Ovis aries: one gene and its partner. The protein of the gene in region 1 interacts with the protein of each later gene in a pairwise test. Links are inferred from orthologs where the notes say so. Each region holds a gene or a part of one and is shown in the gene's direction. Other genes may lie near its edges.

Region 1 (6,440 bases):
TATTTTGAACATTTTCTCATAAACCTCTACAACATTTTCTTTATTTTTAAGATGAGAAATTTCAGATGTACCCAGCCACTTCACATGATCTCTATCTGGATTTAATAGTTACGAATATTTTTAAATAATTTGTGATCTCTCTGTGTATGTTTACTTTTGCTGAATTTGAAAATTGCAGTCATCCTGACATTTGATTTCTAAAGATTTCAGTACGCATCTCCTAAAAATAGTCCTTTTTCTATACAGCTGCAGTTCATTATCACACCTATGAAAGAAAGAAAAAAAGTGAAAGTTAAGTTGCTCAGTCGTGCTCTTTGCGACCCCTTGGACTGCAGCCCACTAGGCTTCTCTGTCCACGGGATTCTCCAGGCAAGAATACTGGAGTGGGTTGCCATTTCCTTCTCCAGGGGATCTTCCCAACTCAGGGATCGAACCCAGGTCTCCCGCATTGCAGGCAGACGCTTTAACCTCTGAGCCACCAGGGAAGCCAGCTATGAAACTGAGCATTAATTCCATAATATAATCTAATTTGTTGTTGTTCAGTCGCCAAGTCGTGTCCAACTCTTTGCGACCCCAAGCATGCATTTCATACTGTCCTTGGGGTTCTCCAGGCAAGAATACTGGAGCTGGTTGCCATTTCCTCCTCCAGTGAATATAATATTTAATATAAAAATTTACCAGTTCTCCTGCAAATGTCTTCTTAATATCGTTTTGTTTCGAACCAGGATCCGAATGAGATATGTGTCTTGCATTAGATTCGTCTGCTGAGTCTTTTAGTCTAAATTATGTCCCACACCCCCATACTGACTTTTTGAAGAGTTAAGGCCCCATTGTTTTATAAGAATGCCTTATATTCCAATTGTCTGTTCCCATGTGGTATTTAACATGCATCTGTATCCCTTATATACTTCTGTGAAATTCAGTTCAGGTTAGGATTTTTTAACCTGCACTGAATATGGGTTGGAAAAGTTTTGTCTTCGTTATCATTAATAGGAATTTATTATTAACAATAGAAAACAAACTCCAACTTCAGTTGAACCTATAACTTTGTCCCAACAGTAGGAATCTCAGTGCTTTTCATACATGAAGTAATTGTAATCTATTTTGAAAAAGTGTGTGTTCATTTTACTTTGAAGTAGTTATCAGAATTCTTGACATCTTATTTAGTATGTTAATAAAGAGCATATATATTGCTTTTGATAGCTAAATCTCAATATATATATTTCCTTTGTAATCTTTTGAATTGTATTTTATGCATTAAGAAAAAAATTCTGAGAAAGGGTCTATAGCTGCATTGTGCAGTACTGAAGCCTCTGTCCACACATGGCTACTGAGCACTGGAAAGGTGACTTGTCTGAATGTAAATATGCCTTAAGTGTAAAACACATCCTCGATTTCCAACACTTAGTACTTTGTACGGAGAAGGCAATGGCACCCCGCTCCAGTACTCTTGCCTGGAAAATCCCATGGACGGAGGAGCCTGGTGGACTGCAGTCCACGGGGTCGCTACGAGTCGGACATGACTGAGCGACTTCACTTTCACTTTTCACTTTGATGCATTGGAGGAGTAAATGGCAATCCACTCCAGTGTTGTTGCTTGGAGAATCCCAGGGACAGGGGAGCCTTCCCAGGGACAGATGGACTGCCGTCTCTGGGGTCGCACATGGTCGGGCATGACTGAAGCAACTTGGCAGCAGCAGCAGCAGTACTTTGTAAACCATCTTATGTAATCAGTAACTTAGAAAAATCAGTTATGTAATGAAATGATAATATTCTGGATATACTGTGTTAAATAAATATATTATTGAAATTAATTCATTAGTTTCTTTCTACTTTTTAATGTGGCTACTAGAAAAATTTAAATTGCATAGGTGGCTTGTATTGTATTTTTACCAGACAACATTAGTCTGTAAGATTCACAAGACTGCTTAAGGGATCCATGCATTGAAAAAGGCTTAGAATCCCTATGCAGAGGCTTCATTAGACTCAGGTTAAATATTTAATTTTCATTTTGCTCTTGGACAATTAACTTTGCTCAGTTTATAGTAATACTGGGGCTCTTGAAAAACATCTAAAACTTTTTTTTTTTCATTAAGAATACTTTTTAGGGAATATAGGGCACTTCACATGCCGAGGCATGTAATATCAGAGTTGCATTATTAGCAGTGCTAAATTTTGTTACTTAAGGAGATGGCCATTAGATCTCAATGTTGTAAAGATATGTCTTGCCCCATTTGTAATTAGTTAAGTAAAACCTGTCAGGTGATATTTGGCACCTTATAAATAGTCTGTTCCCCACTAGTCTATCGCCTAATGGTGTTAACATCCATTGATAGTCCTTGTTTGAATCAGTTATTACATTGGGGTTTACAAAATGGTCATTTTCTAATTCTGTTGAACATTTATTGTACAGAAATTTTCTTCTCACCCCTTTCTTTCCTTTTGAGGATCATTAGAGCTTCCCCTGTGGCTCAGAGGTAAAAAATCCACCTGCAGTGCAAGAGAACATGGGTTGGGTCAGGAAGATCCCCTGGAGGAAGGCATGGCAGCCCAAACCAGAGGAGCCTGGTGGCCTATGGTCTATAGGGTTGCAGAGTTGGACACAATTGAAGCGACTGACCATGCATGGTCATAGGATGGCGAATAGGCAGTTACAGTCATCTTCTTGATATTCAACTTGTGAATTTAGCCAGTGGAGCCCTTGGTTCTTGTATCTTTTTAATATGCTCTTGTTAGTCATTGTGTCTTTCCTTGCTTTCTGCACAATAGGATATATCAGACCTGGAATATACCTTAAAAAATTTTTTTTTAAGGAATTAATATTTAATAGAAATAAAGACCTGGGCAGTGAGAATACTATTATTTCTTCCTAAATTTCGTTAATGTAGTTTTTTAAGAGCAGCACAGTATCCCATTTTGTGATTGGTTCTGTGATTTGTTTATTTAGTGGTCTATTTTTTGAAATACGGGTAGTTTCCAGTTTTTAATGACTATATATAGTGCTTTTGTAAACATCATTGTGCCCAGGTTTTTCCATGGACCTTAATTTTTCCTTTAGAGTGAAAAATCAAGAGGTAAAAATTCATAAGAATGCACCCTTTAAAGATTTGTATTTCTATGAACAGTTTGTTTATATTAGTGTTTACCTCATCTACATACCTCACCTGTTTTTCTGTTTAATCTTTGAGGCACTACTTTTAGAAGCAAACACCAATTGCTTGGTATTATGGCTGAAATCTTTTCCCTTGGTCTTAAAGCCTCTGTCTAATGGAAGTTTACCTTGACAGTGATACAGTGATACTTGACTAGGTGTGACTTGAAATTTCTTCGGGCTGTGAGTGATAATAGCGGTCAGTGCAGAAGACAGTAGATTGAAATGTTAGGTTTTAATATAGTAAGATAAGATATTCTCCAAGAATCCATCAGAAAATGAAGTGAGGTTTACCTTTTAGATAATAAGTGTAGTATAACCATTGCAGAATAAGACAGATCAGCATCTTCTGTATTAGCCTTCTTTTCCTTGAGCTTTTCATCCTGATTTTAGGTTAGCATGAAAAAACTGGAGGTAGAAGTGCCTTGGTGCCAAAGAAGCCCAAGGGGAAAAGCTCATGATTTGGCAATGCCCTCTTGTAGTACCCATAATGTTTGTAAACTCAAAATCTTATATGTAAGAGTTACTGGGCCCTCATGTGCAGGCTGGTAAGAATTTCTTTCATCTTGTCGTGATTGTAACTTTCTGGTGTAAAAAAGTCCTTGAGTAGGAGAAGATTTTTTATGTTTCATATGTGTGTTTGATATTTGCCTGACTCGCTGTTTCTCTTTCAGAAATGACTGCTGTCCACACAGGCAACATAAACTTCAAATGGGACCCCAAAAGTCTAGAGATCAGGACTCTGGCAGTTGAAAGACTGTTAGAGCCTCTTGTTACCCAGGTAAGAATCTGCAAACAAATACATAGTTGTTATAATATGGTTCCATAATTGTAGGCCTGGGTAATAAACACAGGGCAGAGTTGTTTAGTTCAAAGCCTTAATTTGAGTGGTTGAGTTTAGGCTGATAGTAATGAGACAGTTTGGCTCCACTAATAATTAAATATTTATGTGTGGATTCATTTAGCCTTTTAGAAATATATTTGATGCCGTTGTCTTCAGTCTTGATTGGCAGTAATAGGGGCTAGTAGTATGCAGTGCATACCACTTAATACTTAAAAGTATTTCTAAGAAAGATAGGATATGGAACCTTGACTATTAATATTAAGTCTGTTCACCCTGCTTAATACACCTTTTTTTGTCCAGGATCTATTAGAAGGTCATTTAATTTGAGAGCGTAGCTTTGGTATGTTCTGTTATAAATACAAATATCACAGTGTGATGACATTTCATTAAACTGTTAGCAACTTGCTGTGCACATGTAGCATTGTGGCACGTGTATGTGTCTGTGTGTGAGTGAGGGAGACAGACCTTGTACGAGCACGAAAACGAGAGGTAGTGGCATGGTTGCAGTCGCCATCTGCAGTGATTTTGGAGCTCAAGAAAATAAATATTTTAAATATAAATAAAGATATTTTAAATATAAATATAAAATAAATATTTTAAAATTATAAATAAATTATTTTCTTGGACTCCAAAATTCATTGTTAACCTCTTTCTAAACTTCTTGATGACCATAATAGAGACATGTAATTTGTTTGTTGTTTTTAATCTGTAAAATGAAGCTTAAAAGCCTAGTGATCATGTTTGAGAAATTAAAATATTCATTATATTTCTTAACTTACATATTGAGATAGCTAAATTATTTTGGAAAGTAAATATGATATATCATTGCTGAATATTTTAAAATATGGAGAGAATTTTATCTTATTTGTTAATACTAGAGTCTCATAAATGGAATGTTTCATTTTACTATGAGTAATTTATTCTTGCTATCTGTAAAGATGTTACTCTTAGTGTTTTGTTTTTTTTTTTTCTTTTAATTTTAGTTGGCTACAGTTTAATTTTCAAAATTGAAACTTTTAGGTTACAACCTTGGTAAACACCAATAGCAAGGGGCCCTCTAATAAGAAGAGAGGTCGTTCTAAGAAGGCCCATGTTTTGGCTGCATCTGTTGAACAAGCAACTGAGAATTTCTTGGAGAAGGGGGATAAAATTGCAAAGGAGAGTCAGTTTCTCAAGGAGGAGCTTGTGGCTGCTGTAGAAGATGTTCGAAAACAAGGTAGGTCAATACCACTTTTCGTATGAAGAGAGCCCGGCTTTTCTAGAAAAATAATACTTGAAGGTGACTTTGTGGTCAATATTTTCATTCTTATATATTGCCAGTTGCTCAAGTAACTACAAATATTCACTTGTTGGAAATGTATTAAGTTGTACTGGCTTAAGCTTTAATTAGGAGTGATTAACGAACATCTTTTTTGGAGCATCTGAATCCAGTTCTCTTCAATGTTCTAAGTAATAGTTGTAGGAATGTTTTAACACAGTTTGATGGGAAATATATGGGGCAGAAGTTTATCTTTTATCCTGTGTAATATGTTAATTTGTGCTAAAGATACAGGGGTGATAAAATAGAAAAATGTTTAGCAATTCTGAAAATAACTTAGGCAGTGTCTCTTTCTGTCAGACTGATAGGTTAAATCAGCCATGCATATTTGCATTGGCTTGAGTTTAAAATAATTTAAATGTGAGCTTAAAGGAAACATGTTTTGGGAAACTCAGAATTAATAAGAAGTGAAATGGTAACCCACTGCTTACCAATGGTTACTGTTAGAAAAATTGCCATCATTATGATGTAATAATCATGATAAGAGGACTTTATTTTCTTAATTTATTTTATATTGGAGTATAGTTGATTAACAATGTTAGTTTCATGTGTACAGCAAAGTGATTCAGTTATACGTGTATCTATTTTTTTTTATTCTCTTTCATATTCTTTTTCCATTTAGGTTGTTACAGAATATTGAACAGAGCTCCCTGTGCTATATAGTAGGTTCTTTTTGCTTATCTAGATAAGAGGACTTTAAATCTGAAAGAATAACTTCTTGACCTGTAGTTTTTTGTTAAACTTCTGGTCCAGCAAGAGGACTTCAACAAAAACATAGGTGGTTTTTTTTTTTTTTTTTTTTAGGGCTGTTGGCTATCAGGGCAGGGGAACTGACTCCCGTGCTCTGTGCATGAGCTCTACTGGTCTTTGGGAGAGCCTCAGTGGCCCTCTGGCTGACAGCAGTATACATAGTCCACTGGAGTCTTAAGTCAAATTCATCCCTGTGACAGTACCCAAAAAGGGCAAGGCATTAAATGGAGATGCTATCTCCTAATGTTCTGAGTTCGTAAATAGATACTTCTAATACTGAAAATGGTGAGATTACTTAAGTTCCATAATCGTAGCTGAGTGGATGTGTTAGTTTTCTTTGGCTGCCGTAGTAAATGACTACTAACTTGGTAACTTAG
Region 2 (6,440 bases), on another chromosome or scaffold:
ATTGGTATGGTATTGATGACCCCATCTACCATGAGTGCCACTTATTTGATTTTCCAAAATGAAGTAACTTTTAATAAAAAGTATAATCTCCCTTTTATTTACAAAGCAGGTACAATACTGAAAAATACAGTTTTCTTGAAGATTGTGCAAAAACTGCTTTCTGTTTTAAAACTATGGCCAGAAATTTTCAGACATCTTCATAAACATCTGAAATGTCCCTGGGAGGCTCTGATGCCTTCTTCCACAAGAAGAAGAAGGTTTGAGAACCATAGTGTTTTTATATTAAGATAGCACTACTGACCAATTACCTTTTTTTTTTTTATTAAACATTTTATTAGTACTGGGCTTGCTGCTGCTGCTGCTAAGTCGCTTCAGTCGTGTCCGACTCTGTGCGACCCAATGGACAGCAGCCCACCAGGCTCCTCCATCCACAGGATTCTCTAGGCAAGAATACTGGAGTGGCTTGCCATTTCCTTCTCCAAGTACTAGGCTTATTTTGAGCTATTTATTTTTTCTTTGCCTGTCCTTTGAGAACAACCATGTGTTTGTGAACCAACTGGTCATTGATAGAGATACTCTTATTGTGGAAAAGAGTTTCGCTCCCAGAGAAATGGAGATCTGAGTGTAGCAAGAGTAAAAAATACTGGTGAATAAATGGGAAATATAAAAGATATTTTCTGGGACTTCCCTGGTGGTCCAGTGGCTAAGACTCCCTACTCCCAATGCAGGGGGGCTGTGGTTCAATACCTGTTCAGGGAACTTGATCTCACATGCCACAACTAAGACCTGGTGCAGCCAAATAAGTAAATATCTTTAAATTTTAAATAAAAGATGTTTTTGTATTTTTTAATCTCCTTAAAAGTGACTGTTTAAGCAAAAATTGTACAATATAGAAAATTCCCTGGCTGCCCAGGGGTTAGGACTCTGTACTTTCACTGCAGGGGTCCAATCCCTGGTGGGGAAACTAAAATCCCACAAACCTCATGATGCAGCCCCCCCCCCCAAAAAATAGTGCAATATATCATGTTGTTTCTAACTAGTTTAAAGATGTATAACAGCAGGTCAAAGAATGAATGGGAAGATGGAAGTATGTTTGCAAGGCTCTTACAGTTCACATGAAGTAGGACACTATACCTTGAAGACTGTGATAAGTTAAAAGGTACATATTGTAAACTGTAAATCTACCATTACAAAACAACAAAACAAAACCCAAAGAAGTACAGCTAGTTTGACAATAAAGGAGATAAAATGGAATCACAGGAATATTCGGTCCAAGGAAGTCAGAAAAAGAGGAAAGTAAAGTCATGGTCCCTGAAACAAGGTCAGGTCTATTCCTTGGGCTGGCTGCTTTTACTGCCTACTCCCAGAGCTATGCATGAGAAGATAGCCTGTATTTCTTATTATTCAAAGGATCGGTGGTCTTTTTTTTGAAGAACTCGGCTTTCTTTGTATTGAAAGTCTTTTGCTGATTCTCAGGCTGTCTCTCACTCCCCCTCCACTGCTGCCCTCCTGTTTCATAGCCCCTGGTTGCACAGCCCTGTCTCTGTCCCGTCTCTTTAGCACTCCAAGCAGAGAAGTGTCAGGGTTTTACTTTGTCACTTAACATCCGTACTTGACAATCCAAGATGCTGTAAAATAAAGATAAATTAGTATCTCAACACATCTTACCCTTTTCTCTTTTCCTTGAATTCAGAGACATGAAAAATGCTGTAATTGGAAACAACAAGCAGAAAGCCAACCTCATTGTTTTAGGAGCTGTTCCAAGGTAAGTTTGCTACTATCCCCTTTTCTGCTATTCATATGAAGTTTCAGATGTGTTCTCATTCTCAGTCATAAGACCCTTCTTTTTTCTGTATTGTCTGTCCTACTTTTTTTTTTTTTTAATAAATGCTTTGAAGTATATGAAGCATCTCTTTTAAAAAATTAAGATACCAAGGAGTGGAATATATGAATACTTTTTACAGGTTTGGGAAGATCATTGACCCTGCCATAAAAGGACACGTTGGGTAAATAAGCAATGTACACCATCCTGATTCTTCCCGGTCTCCTCAGAGCTCTGGCAACTTTTATATGATGGGATAATAATTTCTTAGGATTCTCAAAACCTTTTTTGAAACTAAAAAAAAAATTTATTTTTTGACCCTGCTTTTTAGAATTTGCTGGCTTTTAAATTAACATAGAAAGTTTCATGTCTTCTGATGAAGCTATTAAGCTTCTTTTTGGCAGACAGTGATAATTGTTTAACTGCTTCTTTGCCTTTGCTACCCAGAATTAAGTTTTATGTGCAGTTACAAATTTTTCATTCAGAATTTTTAAATGTCTTGCTTTTCTTTCTTCTTTTTTCTTTCGTGTCTTTTAATGTAGGATTGTTTAATGGTTTTGTTGTTTTTATTATAATCAACCATTGGTAACTGTAAAGCTGTCAGCAGCCTTTCTTAGGGGACTAGTGCTCAGTATATATAAATATGCTTTAGGGAGCATGAAGGATGTACCTTAGAACATAAAGGAGATAGTCATATGTTGTAGACAATTGGAATTTGGGGAGTAGTTTTTTGACAGGCTAGCCTAGAATAGAATAGGATCTTTTGATGCCCCAAATAGGAGAATCAGAGAAAGAAGAGAACTTCCCTTGTTTGAAGAGCTGCACAAGGACTCTGAGTATTCCCTCTAGGCTAGATGTCTGTGATCTCTGAACTGTGGTAGTGGATATTCAGGGTCCTTAAGATCCACCAGCACTTGGCTTTGGGAATCTTCATATCTTGAAGTGTCAGATAATGTGGACTGTCGTGCTGGCTGTTTCTACAGGACATCGCTTGTGGACAACTCTCAGATTTTGAAGTTCTGACACTAAGATTGTATGATAATTCTGTTGTTCACAAAGAAGAAAATCTCTTTTGGTTCTCCCCGCTGCCGATATTCCTTTATTAAATTAACAGCTTATATAAAGATATGACCATTTCCTAGCAGCCTGTAAACTCACCTACCATATTTTCAGTGTGTGGGATGTATTGGTAGCCTTTTCTGTAACATTACTTTTAGCTAATGTTTACTTTTAAGTTTTTTAGTCTCTTCTGTTTATCAAGTTCTTTCTTTTTAGATTATTGTACTTGCTTCAGCAAGAAACCTCAAGCACAGAATTGAAAACTGAATGTGCAGTGGTATTGGGAAGTCTTGCTATGGGTACTGAAAACAATGTTAAGTCTCTACTAGATTGCCATATTATCCCTGCCTTACTGCAAGGTATGTAAGGAAGTCATTTTTATACAGGTAAAAAGTAGAATCAGTTTGCAGCGTTTTAAATATAAGTTGGAAGCATGAGTCTCAAATCTGTTTTCTCTTAACAGGACTACTGTCCCCAGACCTGAAGTTCATTGAAGCTTGCCTCCGATGCCTGCGCACCATCTTCACCAGTCCCGTCACTCCAGAGGAACTACTGTATACAGTGAGTTTTAGGTGTTTTTCAATCATCAAGTTACATTTTTACTAACAGCATACTTCTGATTTACTTAGCTTAGCATCTCATAACTGATCTTAGCTGTGATAACTATGTTATAGAAAAGTCTCAAGAAATATTTGAATTGCTAATTTGCAAATATCAAATGTTCTAGGCTTTGTAAAGCAGTGAAAGGTAGTCCCAGACCTTGAGAAATTTATAAGCTGGGGTTTTTTGTTGTTTTTTGTTTTGTAAAGACCTTTCTTAATTTCTTAAAAGGAAACACATTTAATGCACTCACTATAGGTTAAATCTGGTAGAGGAGGCTTTATGGAGAAGGTAGAATTTGACCTGATCTTGAATAATGGATAAGATTTCAAGAAGTGTAGAGAAAAGAAGCTGTTCTAGGGCACATCTTTGAAAAAGAGAATATGCAGGACAGTGGACAGAATAGTTTAATGCAGGAAGGGAATCATTGTTCATTTCAGCTGAAAAGGTGAACCAGAAGCACTTGTTAGAGGCTTACTTACCAGGCTAGGATCAGAGAATACATGTGAGAGAATCTAAAGATCTTCAGAGTCATTCATTGGTTTTCAGAAACTTCAGGGATTATTAGAGTGTATTTTTATCTGTTGCTTATCTGGGGCTTTCTTAATAAATTTATCAAGGCTAGTATTTTTTAAACTCTCTTATCCACAATTCACAGTAGAATTATATTTTCTACGGCCACACTGTGTGTGGGGGGTGGGAGGTGGGGGCGCAGAGTGGTGGTGGGAATATCTTGAGATAGTCTTCACAAAACAATTGCATAAATGTGGTGCCTTCTGACTTCTATTTTATCCTTTTTCATTTTAAAAAATGCTGGTTGTGATTCTCTGAGCTGAGATGCAGAATCATAGTTTCAAAGTGGACACATATGTATTGGAGATCTTGTCCAGGGTCATGTTTTACAAATACTTCAAAAATATAAGTAGTCAAGAGGCATAGGCAAAGCAGGCAGGGAGAGGGACATGTCATGTGCCTCCAGAGTTTGTTTTTCCTATATTAGACACTTGCTCCTCTGGCCTGTAATGATGCCTAAGGTCTGTAAATGAGGCTTGTGGGTCATCTCACACAGCAGGGAGCTAAATTATGAAGCATCTTGATTTTATACCTTGAGGATTTGTGTAACATTCTTTGGGGAACCATGGCTCATAAATCCATAGACCATTTACCACAATGGTTCTCAAACTTGAGCAGGGACCGAAATTACCTGGAGAGCGTATTAAACACAGAATCCTGGACCCCTACCTCCAGAGTTTCTAATTCAGTCAGTGTGGGATGGGGCCTGAGAATATGCATTTCTAACAAGTTTGCCAGTAACTGGTAAACTTTAGTATCTGGTAAACCAGATGCTACTGGTCCACTCTCTGAGAACCACTGGTTTACTGTAAGCATTTCTAAATTGAGGAAGCATTCTCACAGCATTCTATATAGAACTCTCCATCTGAGTATCAGTCTGTTTACTTAAGGATTTCCGATTGTCATTTTTACAAAGAAATTAAGCCAATCACTCATCTTCTTTACCCTAGAAGTTTTTCCCCAACCCTCAGCCCAGTATTGGGGAAGGAATTGACCCTGGTCAACTTACTCAGCTCCTTCCTTCTCTCTCTCTAAATTGATTTCATGATCTGCTAATGGATTGTGGTTCGTAATTTGGAGAATGCTGCTATATACCAACTTAGCTTCTTTTTGCAAGAAAAATTAAGACACAGGGACTTAAGGGACTTTCATAGGATACCTAAATTATGAAACAATTTTATGCCTCAGAGACCGTGGAGACTCTAAAAAATGCTGGATGGGATAATGACAGAGAGTAGTATTTCAGTGTAACTAACTGACATCTGTGGGTAGGATTGTATAGAGACCAGCTGCCATAGCAACTCAGGCACTAAACTAAGGAGCGCAGAATCCTGTTGAAGAGGGCAGAATGTGTAGTTTGAAATTGTTTATAAGATGAATGACTTTGGGGGAAATTATGTAACTGTACTTTGCCTTGTTTAATCAACCAGAAACTGCAGATATGTAACACAGCAGCTTGCAGTATCTTAGTTCCCTGGCCAGGGATTGAACGTTGGGCCCACAGTAGTGAACACCCTGAGTCATAACCACTGGACTGCCAGGAAATTCCCTCATTTTGTGTTTAAACTGCTTATGACAACACAGGGTTATAACAAGCAAGGGGAAAAGATTCTATTTGTAGGCATCTTCTACAAAAATAGCCTACTATTTTCCTACTTAGCTTTTATGTATCTTGCCCAAACCTTGTTTATCCCAACAGTGGTATTCTTTTAAGTTTCCTTCCTTGCCCTCTGTTGTCTTTTGTCAAAGTGTGGTCTGTGGACCAGCAACATCAACCATTAGTTGGGAGTTTGATAGAATGCCAAATCATAAGTCGTACTTCAGACCTACAGAATCAGTCTATACATACAGAGTATCCCCTGAGAACATACATGCAATGCGCGTTCGTATCTGAAGAGCATTGCTGCAGGACTTACGACAGCACTGACTAGGGCACTCGAGCTAAGTCTCCTTTTCCATCTGTGGTTTGGGCCAAATATCCTCTCAGTGTTTAAATCATGAAAGAGGAGATTTTTTGAGAGCCCTGAGGCAGATTGGGTGGATTCTTCTTTCTTCTGTACCATCATGTATGCTGTGAAGTGTCAGTAGTAGGCAGAGAGTGGGCTGTAAGTGAGAAGCTGCTTTTATATAAACTGTCTTGTCTTGTGAAGACTGAAATTAGCTCACTACAGTTATTAGAAATGTTAATCTGTTACTGATACTTACCAAAACATCTCAGACTTCAAAATTGTGAACTTTTATTTTAATACAGTAATTCCTCCTTGTAAGCTATGTAGTAAGTATTTATCTCATTAATTACGTCACATTTTGGTTTTGGAATAGATTATGTCAAGTCTTATTGAAATGATCTTGTTTTATTGTGGGGATGTTTATGGGAGAGAAATTG

Evidence for each region.
Region 2: the proteins of CTNNA1 (region 1) and ARMC8 interact in a two-hybrid assay, tested with the Homo sapiens proteins (2 studies listed by BioGRID and IntAct). The link is inferred for Ovis aries from reciprocal best matches to the Homo sapiens genes CTNNA1 and ARMC8.

Annotation. Positions count from the first base shown.
Region 1 is NC_056058.1:47,767,128-47,773,567, forward strand, and holds part of CTNNA1 (catenin alpha-1), read left to right. Parts: intron 1-3,825; coding exon 3,826-3,932; intron 3,933-5,015; coding exon 5,016-5,211; intron 5,212-6,440. UniProt on the Homo sapiens protein: Associates with the cytoplasmic domain of a variety of cadherins. The association of catenins to cadherins produces a complex which is linked to the actin filament network, and which seems to be of primary importance for cadherins cell-adhesion properties.
Region 2 is NC_056054.1:251,533,983-251,540,422, reverse strand, and holds part of ARMC8 (armadillo repeat-containing protein 8), read left to right. Parts: intron 1-1,693; coding exon 1,694-1,765; intron 1,766-3,097; coding exon 3,098-3,240; intron 3,241-3,344; coding exon 3,345-3,442; intron 3,443-6,440. UniProt on the Homo sapiens protein: Component of the CTLH E3 ubiquitin-protein ligase complex that selectively accepts ubiquitin from UBE2H and mediates ubiquitination and subsequent proteasomal degradation of the transcription factor HBP1.